Oryctolagus cuniculus: one gene and its partners. The protein of the gene in region 3 interacts with the protein of the main gene of each other region in a biochemical or structural test. Links are inferred from orthologs where the notes say so. Each region holds a gene or a part of one and is shown on either strand. Other genes may lie near its edges. The genes, in order: DNM2, DNM1 and ITSN1.

Region 1 (3,644 bases), on a different chromosome or scaffold from region 3:
GACATGGACAGTGACCTTGGGGATTTGGGCCTGTAGCCGCCATCGGCAGAGATGGGAAAAATGAGGCAGGGTCATTGGGCAGTCGGCAGCAGGTTTGGGGCCATGCGTGGGGGAGAGGTCACAGGGGTTGGGGGGAGGAGGCTGTGGGCATCTGGGCAGGGGTGGGGCCCGGGAGGAGTCACTGCCTCCACAGCATTCAGTCTGGAGGTCAGGCGAGCGGGCGGGGCCCTCATCAGGAACCAAGGCCTACGGGCCACAGAGCTCAGCGGTCAGCAGAGGCCGCTGGGTCCGTGTGAGTGGCCACAGTGCACGGCTGGTCCCAGCATTCCCGACAGCTGACCCCTCCGCCCTGAGCCCGGTGCCCCCCTCAGCAGGACAGGCCATGACCTGATGTGTCATTCAGGAGTTCAGGAAACCCAGAAACAAAGTAGCCATCTGCTTGTGTGCGGGAATGCCCCCACCTGTCTGCTCTGGGCAGTGCCCGAGCCGGGAGATCAGGTGTCTGATGAGCAGGCACGCAGGCCCCGCCCCTGGTCCCCACTGGCTGAGTACTGATGAGAGCAGGCACGAAGGCCCCGCCCCTAGGTCCCCATTGGCTGAGTACTGATGAGCAGGCACGCAGCCCCCCCCCCAGGTCCCCATTGGCTGAGTACTGGGGGGTGCACAGTCTTCCAGGACACAGCTTCAGTTACAAAGTTGCCTTCCTCTTTCTCTGTACTTGTTAATTTTCTTCCCTTTCCCCCTGTCACCAACCCACAGCTGTGCAAAACCTGTCCAGAGGCCGGGCCCATCCCTCGCCCCCGTGGGCCGTGCCACTGAAGTGAGACAAAAAGCTCACTCCCTCCATCATAAGTTCGGGTGGACAGCGCTGCTCTGGGCTTCCTGAAAAACACCTCAGTGGCAGCTCCCCGCTGGGCCAGGGTGTTGTGGGGCATGTGCCCACCTCGGGAGGCTTGGCAATGACCTTGGCCCCCACCGAGGCACACGGGCGGGGGGGCAGGTGGATCCCAGGGAAGGAGAGGCGTCGGCTGGGCCAGCATGAGCGGAAAGCCACAAATTCGACTCTTGAACTTGGGCCTGGCCCTTGACAGCGTAGCAGGAACAGGAGCAGGTGCAGGCCCATTCACAGGACCCAGCTGTTTTGTTTTTGAGAGTGATGGATTTATTTGAAAGGCAGAGTGACGGGGCAAGGGGAGAGAGCTCCCAGCCGCTGGTTTACTCCGCCATGGCCACAATGGCCAGGAGCTCCATCCGGGTCTCCCACGGGGGTGCAGGGCCAAGCACTCGGGCCATCTTCTACTGCCTTCCCAAGTGCACTAGCAGGGCGCTGGATCGGAAGTCGAGCAGCCACTTCTTGAGCCTGCGCCCATGTGAGATGCTGGCATGGCAGGCAGCGGCTTAACCAGCCGTGCGCCAGCGCCGGCCCCAGCTTGGATGTGAGCCCAGACCAGCAGAGCCCAGAGCCCAGCCCTCGCGGTCACGCGCCTCCTTGCCGCCCCAGGAACGTCTACAAGGACCTGCGGCAGATCGAGCTGGCCTGTGACTCCCAGGAGGACGTGGACAGCTGGAAGGCCTCGTTCCTGCGCGCCGGCGTCTACCCCGAGAAGGACCAGGTACGGGGCCCGCTCAGGGGCGGCGGCGCAGAACGTTCTAGAACTGAAGGCAAGCCCGGGATGCACACAGAAGGGGATGCTGTCTCCCTGTCCTTGAGGCCACGTCCCCAAATGAACCTGTTGGCGTTCCCAGGAGCCGGGAGGGTCTGGCCCGGGGCGCTCGGCCCTCACTGCCGCTCCCCCACCTGCAGGCGGAGAACGAGGACGGGGCCCAGGAGAACACCTTCTCCATGGACCCGCAGCTGGAGCGGCAGGTGGAGACCATCCGCAACCTGGTGGACTCGTACGTGGCCATCATCAACAAGTCCATCCGCGACCTCATGCCAAAGACCATCATGCACCTCATGATCAACAGCGTGAGTGCCCCGGCCAGCGGCCTCAGCGGCCAGGCCAGCCAGGAAGTCGAGCCCGGACAGGTCAAGGAACCTCCCCGAGATTGTAACTCTGCCTTTCAAATAAATCAATCAGAGAGACAGAGAGCCAAAGAGAGAGAGAAGAGCGGCCCAGGCCACAGCCAGAAAGTCGAGCCCAGACAGGTCAAGGAACCTCCCCCGAGACTGACTGATTGATTTGAAAGGCAGAGTTACTGAGAGGCAGAGAGAGAGAGAAAGAAAGAAAGAGAGAGAGAGAGAGAGAGACCCTCCATCCGCTGGTTCATGCCCCAGATGGCTGCAATGGCTGGAGCTAGGCCAACCCAAAGCCAGGAGCTTCCTCCGGGTCTCCCACGAGGATGCAGGGGCCCAAGGACCTGGGCCATCCTCCAATGCTATCTCAGGCCACAGCAGAGAGCTCGATGGGAAGTGGAGCAGCCGGGACTCGAACCGGCGCCCATATGGGATGCTGGCACTGCAGGTGGCAGCTATACCTAGAAGTGGGGTTTTCCACCCAGGCTGAGCCCGTGTCCGCCCCTGCCCTTAGGTTGGGCAGCTGAAGCCCCCCCTTCCCGGCTGTCCCCAGGGACCCCGAGCACCGGGGCTGCTCCTGGTGAGGGCTGAGCAGGCGCACCGCTCCCTTAACGCGCATGCCCCTCGAGCCTTTTGAAGACCCTGTTTGGAAAGAGTTATTTATTTTGGCACCCAAATAAGCCACGTTTATCCACGGCACCCTGAGGCCCCTCTGCGACTGTGCAGCGGCAGTGCACACAGGGGCCTCGCCTCGTTCTCCCCAGCGCTTCTCACCCACACACGCACGCACGCACGCACGCACGCGGGCCCTGCAGAGGGAGGCGCGTGCTTACACACGGGCGTCCTGCAGGCAGTCCCCACCTGCCAGTGCATTGTTTGAGAAGATGTGTTCACCCGAGGCAGGGATTCACAGGGACACCATCAGTGTAAGAAAGGGGCTGTGCACATGTGTAAGGCGGCCGCGGAGCGGGCGAAGCCTCTGCCTGTGCCACCTGCATCCCCCACGGGATCGGTTCGAGCCCCGGCCGCCCCACTTCTGACCCGGCTCCTGGTCCTGGCTCTGGCCTGGCCTGGCCTGGCCTGGCCCTCTATTTGGGGAGAGAGGCGGGGATGGAAGACCTCTCTCTTCTGTCTCTGTCACTCTGCCTGTCACGAAGATGAAAATAAAATACGCACCAAAAAGTGCACGGAAAGACCGAATTAAAGGTCTGAGTTCATTTTGGAACAGGAAAACGGTGGGGATTTCAAAAGGCTTTTTGCCAAAATAAACTCATGCCTTTCATTCCATAGTCCGGAAACTTGAAACTTGGTGCCCCTAGGACACACTGTAAGACAGAGGGGCTCGCCTGGCCCCGCCCCGCGGCCTGGCCCCGCCCCTACACCCTGGCCCGGCCCACCTCCAGCAGCCTGGCCCCGCCCCTCCAGCGGCCTGGCCCTGCCCCCGCGGCCTGACCCCGCCCCCGCCCCGCAGACCAAGGCCTTCATCCACCACGAGCTGCTGGCCTACCTGTACTCGGCGGCCGACCAGGGCAGCCTGATGGAGGAGTCGGCCGACCAGGCGCAGCGGCGCGACGACATGCTGCGCATGTACCACGCGCTGAAGGAGGCCCTCAACATCATCGGGGAC
Region 2 (3,644 bases), on a different chromosome or scaffold from region 3:
ATGGGTGGATGGGTGGATGGATGGATGAGTGGATGGGTGGATGGATGGGTGGGTGGATGGATGGGTGGATGGATGGATGAGTGGATGGATGGATGGGTGGATGGATGGATGAGTGGATGGGTGGATGGATGGATGGGTGGATGGGTGGATGGATGGGTGGATGGATGGGTGGGTGGATGGATGGGTGGATGGATGGGTGGGTGGATGGGTGGATGGATGGATGGGTGGGTGGATGGATGAGTGGATGGGTGGGTGGGTGGATGAGTGGATGGGTGGATGGGTGGATGGATGGATGGGTGGATGCGTGGATGGATGGGTGGGTGGATGGGTGGATGAGTGGATGGATGGATGGGTGGATGGATGGATAGATGGATGGATGGATGGATGGGTGGGTGGATGGATGGGTGGATGGATGGATGGGTGGATGGGTGGATGGATGGATGGGTGGATGGATGAGTGGATGGGTGGATGGATGGGTGGATGGATGAGTGGATGGGTGGATAGATGGATGGGTGGATGGGTAGATGAGTGGATGGATGGATGGGTGGGTGGATGGATGGGTGGATGGATGGATGGGTGGGTGGATGGATGGATGGGTGGATGGATGGATGGGTGGATGGATGGATGGATGGGTGGATGGATGGGTGGGTGGATGGGTGGGTGGGTGGATGGGTGGATGGATGGATGGGTGGATGGATGGATGGGTGGATGGATGGATGGGTGGGTGGATGGATGGATGGGTAGATGGATGGATGGGTAGATGGATGGATGGGTGGGTGGATGGATGAGTGGATGGGTGGATGGGTGGATGGATGGATGGATGAGTGGATGGGTGGATGGATGGGTGGGTGGATGGATGAGTGGATGAGTGGATGGGTGGATGGGTGGATGGATGGATGGGTGGATGGATGGGTGGATGGATGGGTGGGTGGATGGATGGATGAGTGGATGAGTGGATGGGTGGATGGATGGGTGGATGGATGGATGGGTGGATGGGTGGATGGGTGGATGGATGGATGGATGGGTGGATAGATGGGTAGGCATGAGAGAGACATGTTTTTAGGGAGCGGACAGCCTGCTGCACCTCCAGGTGTGTGAGGAGATGAGTGGAGAGAAACACCCTCCTCACCTGGCCTGCTGCTCTCCTCCAGTTGTCTGCAGTGCCGCTGGTCGTCGCGAGCCCTGCTCCGCCCCTGTTGTACACTTGACCCTTAGGGCCTCAGCTCTTCTCTCCTTAGGTTCCAGAGGCCCTAGCGGCTTTGTAAGAACCTAGGTGTTTGTGGGATCATTGGCTTAATGTCTGTTTCCCTCTCAGACCCCACAGGGGAGAGCTGAGTCTATCAGCCCCAAGCCCAGTGCCTGGCACACACAGTCGGGCTCAAGAGAGTGACAGGTTGAATAGGTGTTGTGTGTCAGTTGGGCCAAAGTCCCTGGTGCCTACACTGTGCCCCCAGGCAGAGGGCAGACCCTGCCCCATGGGGTCCTGTGTTTGTAGGCAGAGCACAGCTAAGACCCCTGGGAGCCCCAGACAAGGTGGGGGCTGGGAACAGCTGTAAGTCAGGGCACGGAGCAGGGTGGTGAGATTTGTCAACTGCAAAGACAGCCAGGGGACCTTGGCCTGCCCAGGACAGGTTAGGGGAGACATGTGGGACCAGGCTCTGTGTCTCTGGTCACCGGCACAGGCAGCTGTGGTCTGTGCGCGACTCAGCGGCTGATGGGCTGTGTGGCGTGGGTTCTCTGTGAGGCTGTCAGGGAGCCCTGAGGAGGGTAAGGAGAACTCCAGGGTGGCTCCAAAGCCCCCCCCCCCAAGCAAGCCTAGCCCCACAGCACCCTGGCCTTTGCTCAGAGAGAAGCCACAGTCAGTGCTAGGAAGAGCGGAGACAGCTGCGTCTCCATGCAATCCGCGGCCACGGCCTGGGCTAGCACCTGCCCTGGAGTAGAAGCCCCAGGCCCTGGTCAGTGATGGCTCAGGACCCCCCTGGGCGCTGCTGTTTCTGCTGTCACTCTGAGCTTTCCTGGGAAGAAGGGGCCTGGAGTGTTCCTGCTTCAGCTGCTTCTCCCGGCCTCTGGGGGTCTGAGGCCAGACGTTCTCAGATCCGTGCTAGCATAACATTCGTTTATTCATGCCACAAAGAGGTAGTGATCCCTCGGTGCCTGCCGGGCCCTGTGCGAGGTGCTGGGCTGCACCGGCGGGCGGGAGAGTTCAAGTTCAGCAGAGGAGCTGCAGCAAGAAGGCAACCAGAAGCATAGACATGGCTGGCCAAGACTTCAGGGGGCGATCAAAGACGATTTCGGGCATCCTGATTCATGTCTCGCGGGGGCCCGGCAGGGCTGCATGGGAATGCGAATCAGAGCCGACCCTTGAAGGGCGAGTAGGCGTTTGCCAGGCAAGAAGGGACGAGAAGCGCTTTCTAGGCAGAGACAACAGAGCCCGTGCGAAGTCCCTGAGGTCAGAAGCAAGTCTCAGAACAGATCGGGCGTTGACCTTAAAAAGCCCCTTGGAGTTGGCTTGCCGGGTCAGCCACGCGAACTCTGCTTGCACGCTTTCAGCCACGGGGAGCTCATCCCTCACTCAGACAGCTGTGGCTGCGTCTTCCTCTGTCTTCCACCCTGTTCACTTGTGATTCAGACCAGGGCAGGTCTGGCCCCCGCCCTCCCTCTGAGAGTTGGGGGAGGGGTGGGCTGGTGCATGCCTCTCTTGGCCCACCCCCTCCTCCGTGGGGAAGCCTGCCCGTCACCTGCTGACCTCGCACCCCCTCACCCTACAGGTCATCCGCAAGGGTTGGCTGACCATCAACAATATCGGCATCATGAAGGGAGGCTCCAAGGAGTACTGGTTTGTGCTGACCGCCGAGAATCTGTCCTGGTACAAGGATGACGAGGTGAGCACCGAGCCGCTGGCCGGCAGGGGGCTGGCCAGGGGCAGTGTCAGGCTCAGACTCTGCCGTGGCCTTGGAGTGAACTGGACAAGGCTTTAAAAAAAAGTCCCAGCAGGGACCCATGAGCGGAAGTGAGAAGCCGGGATCGGGAGCAGGCGAGTCCAGGGGCTGGGGGCTGAGTGCCATGGGGAGGGTGGGCAGGGGCGCTGGGCCCCCCTCCCCGAGGCCGCCAGCCCGGCGGCCTTCCTGTTTTCCCCATTCAGGGCGTGCCGCCTCCTCCGTGGCCCCCACAGGCTCATGACACACAAGAGTCCAGTTGCCAGACACCCAGTTAACCCCTGCACCCCAGGCCCCTGGACCCCCCACAGTCCCAGGAAGTGCCCTGGGTGTCTCCAAGCCGAGGGCCCCGAGTGCTGGTGCTCCTGGGGCTGCCACACGAGACCCCCTTCGCCCACTGCGGCACACAGAAGCCCCCGCACTGCCCTCCCCCACTGCTGGTCTCCTTTAAGAATGAGTCTATTTGGCTTCCACATCTGGATTCCAGAGGTGACCAGAGAGGGGGGGCGGGGGGCTCGTGGTAATGAACTCCAGCTGGCCAGGGAGTGGGGGAGGGGACTAGTGGAGGCATTCTCCATAGGGGAGTGAGACCGGGGGCGGGGGGGCTGTGATTTTGGTCCCCGTGCCCCCTCCCTGGTCCCTGTCTGCTCCGTGTCTGCCCCCGGGAAGGGGCCCCACCTCCCCACCCTGGGCGGGCCCCTCTGTCGT
Region 3 (3,644 bases):
AAGACAGCGGAGTCCTGGGAGCGGAATTTGCACAGAGCCAAGCCTCCTTCCTGTGTTGTTTGGCAACTTTGTGTCTTTTCCCGCTCAAGGACCGCCTGGGTGCAGAAGATCAAAGCTGCCTCTGAACTCTACATAGAGACGGAGAAGAAGAAGCGGGAGAAGGCTTACCTGGGTAACTCCCGCGGGCCGGGCTCTGGCCACGCTGCCGTGGGGCAGCCGTTTGGCCAGGCTCAGATCCCTTAGAGCTGGGACAGGCTCCTGGGGGCAGCGGGGAGGTCGTGAGATGGCTGGGCACAGGGTGCAGGCTGGGATGCTGGAGCACGGGTGGAGGGCGGGGCAGGTGTCCAGGCTAAGGGTGAAGCATCTGTGCATCTGTGCTATGTTTTTCCCTCTGCTGTTCCAGTGCGGTCCCAGAGGGCAACGGGCATTGGAAGGCTGATGGTGAACGTGGTAGAGGGCATTGAGCTGAAGCCCTGCCGGTCACACGGTGAGGACCTGCGCGGCCCCGGTGGCCCATGCGGCTGTTGCAGTCTTCCCTGGAGCTGTTCGCTCTGCTGTCCGGGAAGGTCCGCGTGGCTGCATTCACACCCAGTGGCTGTGGCACACTCGGAGCCTGCCTGGGAGGGCTCTGGTTCGTAAGCCCATGGATGCCCTGGTCGGTTCCCTGTCTGAAGCGTGGTGCTGAATTGTGTGTTTTCGCCCAGCTTCTCCATGTGAGGCCACGTAGGCCGCGTGGTGATGGAGCGGGATGAGTTGTGGCTCCCGCCCTGGTGAAGGGTTTTGTGCCTTCCAGGAAAGAGCAACCCCTACTGCGAGGTGACCATGGGCTCCCAGTGCCACATCACCAAGACGATCCAGGACACCCTGAACCCCAAGTGGAATTCCAACTGCCAGTTCTTCATCAGAGACCTGGAGCAGGAAGTCCTGTGCATCACCGTGTTCGAGAGGGACCAGTTCTCACCCGATGGTGAGTCGCGGGCGTGCCTCATAGCTCGCTGCTCCTTCCCCATCACTCAGCCTGTGCGGGCGGACGCCTCCTCTCCTGGGGATGCGATGCCCAGAGTGGCTTGGATTTCTCTCTCAAATGATGAGGCTGGCCCAAGATAAGGCTTTCATGCACAGCAGGTGCAGCCCGGTGCACAGACACAGTGTCCTTGTCTTGGATTTGCGTCACAGTCTTGGGCTGTCCAGAGCAGGTAGCTGCCAACAGGGGTGTACCTAGGAGTTTCAGTGTAGTTCTGTCATCCCTGGCACAAAGCCACGCTGATACGGAGCGGCTGGCACTTGGCGCTGTGGTGGTGATGTCACTTGGGACACCCACGTCCCATACTGGAGTGCCTGGTTCAAGGCCCAGCTCCTCTACTTCTGATCCGTCTTCTTGCCACTATGCAACCTGAGAGGCGGCAGAGGGTGGCTCAAGGACTTGGGTCCCTGCCACCCATGTGAGAGACCCAGATGGAGCTGCTGGCTTAGCCCTGGCTGCTGCAGGCATTTGGGGAGTGAACTAGTGGGTGGAAGCTCGCTCTCTCTCTCTGTCTCTCTTTCTGGCTGACTCTCTGTGTCTCCATGCATTTCAAATAAAATAAGAATATTTAATTTTTATTATTTTAAAACTGGCCAATGCTAATGGAGCAGAAGAGCCCATGACCATGGCAGTAGAAGCAATCTGTGCCCTTTTGGAAGGCACGGCTGCTTGGGCAAGGGGTTGCTTGAGCAAAATTGTGTTGGTTGCATCATTCTTTTAGCCAGCGTCTGTGCCTGCTTTACAATGGTCTCTGACCAGAGATTCTAAGAAACTGTCGCTCTCTGCCTCAACCCCATAGAAATTAGAGATTAAGCTTAAAGATTATGGCCTCAACTTGACTGTGAAGAAATACAAGTAACGAGAGTGAGGGCTTGGCTGGCGCCGCGGCTCACTAGGCTAATCCTCTGCCTGCGGCGCCGGCACACCGGGTTCTAGTCCTGGTTGGGGCGTCAGGTTCTGTCCCGGTTGCCCCTCTTCCTGTCCAGCTCTCTGCTGTGGCCCGGGAGGGCAGTGGAGGATGGCCCAAGTCCTTGGGCCCTGCACCCGCATGGGAGACCAGGAGAAGCACCTGGCTCCTGGCTTCAGATGGGTGCAGTGCGCTGGCCACTTGGTGGGTGAACCAACGGAGTAAGACCTTTCTCTCTGTCTCTCTGTGTTTCTCTCACTGTCTAACTCTGCCTGTCAAAAAAAAAAAAAAAAAAAAAAAAAAGAGTGAGGGCTTTAGGGCAGTGTTACCCCCTCAAGATTTAAAGGGCTCCATGCAGCCTTCCTCTCCTACTACCTTGTGTGAATTAGCTCATTGTGAGTTAGGTGCTGTTGGTTTTGGCCTAAAGATAGTCACAGAGCTGGTTAAATATTAATCATGTGGCCAGAACTCTCTGCCTCCCAAGTCAAGGCTCTTAACTTTTTTTTTTTTTTAAGATTTATTTATTTATTTGAAAGTCAGAGTTACACACAGAGAGAAGGAGAGGCAGAGAGAGAGAGAGGTCTTCCATCCGCTGGTTCACTCCCCAATTGGCTGCAACAGCCGGAGCTGCACCGATCTGAAACCAGGAACCAGGAGCTTCTCTGGGTCTCGCACACAGGGGCAGGGGCCCAAGGACTTGGCCCATCTTCTACTGCTTTCCCAGGCCATAGCAGAGATCAGAAGAGGAGCAGCCAGGACTTGAACTTGTGCCCATTTGGGATGCCGGCACTGCAGGCGGTGGCTTTACCTGCTTTGCCACAGCGCTGGCCCCAGGGCTCTTTATTCTGTTAAGTGGAAGCTTTTTGTTTGCTGCTGTTATATTAAAAATAATGACACATCGCAGGGAATAAGGTGGAGACCCCAGTGTTGGGCCTACCTAGCGCTCAGAGCGGAAGGAAGGCATAGCTTCTCTCGAGGAGACTGCGATGGCGGGTGCGCGCCTGGAGGAGAAGGGATTCTTGTGAGCACGGTGTGTTTGTCTCCTTTCAGATTTCTTGGGTCGAACAGAGATCCGTGTGGCTGACATCAAGAAAGACCAGGGCTCCAAGGGGCCAGTTACAAAGTGTCTCCTGCTGCACGAAGTCCCCACAGGAGAGATTGTGGTCCGCTTGGACTTACAGTTGTTTGATGAGCCGTAGGGAGCGGCTCAGCACGTGCTCGGAGGAGCTCCCACCTGAGGCAGCAGGTGCTGTCTGGCATTTGTGTTCCTTCGCTCGGCATCCCTGGCGTTCAGCCACAGGGCAATGGGACAGCAAAGACAGGCCCCCAGAGCGTCTAGGAATCCTTGACAATCCTGCCCCCACCCCAAACAACCTCTCCTGTTATGAAACGAGACTGTGTCTTCCTTGCCCCTCACCGCAGGTGTCATCATGGTTTCTAGGGTCTCTGAACTCCCAGAGCCCCCAGCTAACCTCAGCTGGGAGTCTGGCTCCGCCCAGGCTCTGGGCCCGGGTCTGATGATTAGAAATCAGATTTCTACATGCGGTGTCTGTATTTTTTTTTTTTTTTTTTGAGAACTCATGTAATCCTCTTATTTCTTACCTTCCTGCTGCCCCCAGTAGACTCCTTGGCCTGCAATGCCCAGTCCCCGGATGTTTAGAAACAATCGTGATGGTCCTGTCATTGCTTTGAAATCCCATTGCCCACCAGGGA

What was found.
Region 1: the proteins of ITSN1 (region 3) and DNM2 form a complex in vitro, tested with the Homo sapiens proteins (2 studies listed by BioGRID and IntAct, with this or other methods). The link is inferred for Oryctolagus cuniculus from reciprocal best matches to the Homo sapiens genes ITSN1 and DNM2.
Region 2: the proteins of ITSN1 (region 3) and DNM1 form a complex in vitro, tested with the Homo sapiens proteins (2 studies listed by BioGRID and IntAct, with this or other methods). The link is inferred for Oryctolagus cuniculus from reciprocal best matches to the Homo sapiens genes ITSN1 and DNM1.

Annotation. Positions count from the first base shown.
Region 1 is NC_091447.1:66,757,294-66,760,937, reverse strand, and holds part of DNM2 (dynamin-2), read left to right. Parts: intron 1-1,501; coding exon 1,502-1,613; intron 1,614-1,804; coding exon 1,805-1,969; intron 1,970-3,488; coding exon 3,489-3,644. UniProt on the Homo sapiens protein: Catalyzes the hydrolysis of GTP and utilizes this energy to mediate vesicle scission at plasma membrane during endocytosis and filament remodeling at many actin structures during organization of the actin cytoskeleton.
Region 2 is NC_091432.1:231,543,449-231,547,092, forward strand, and holds part of DNM1 (dynamin-1), read left to right. Parts: intron 1-2,768; coding exon 2,769-2,882; intron 2,883-3,644. UniProt on the Homo sapiens protein: Catalyzes the hydrolysis of GTP and utilizes this energy to mediate vesicle scission and participates in many forms of endocytosis, such as clathrin-mediated endocytosis or synaptic vesicle endocytosis as well as rapid endocytosis (RE).
Region 3 is NC_091435.1:11,143,083-11,146,726, reverse strand, and holds part of ITSN1 (intersectin-1), read left to right. Parts: intron 1-89; coding exon 90-172; intron 173-403; coding exon 404-487; intron 488-793; coding exon 794-967; intron 968-2,981; coding exon 2,982-3,130; 3' UTR 3,131-3,644. UniProt on the Homo sapiens protein: Adapter protein that provides a link between the endocytic membrane traffic and the actin assembly machinery. Acts as a guanine nucleotide exchange factor (GEF) for CDC42, and thereby stimulates actin nucleation mediated by WASL and the ARP2/3 complex.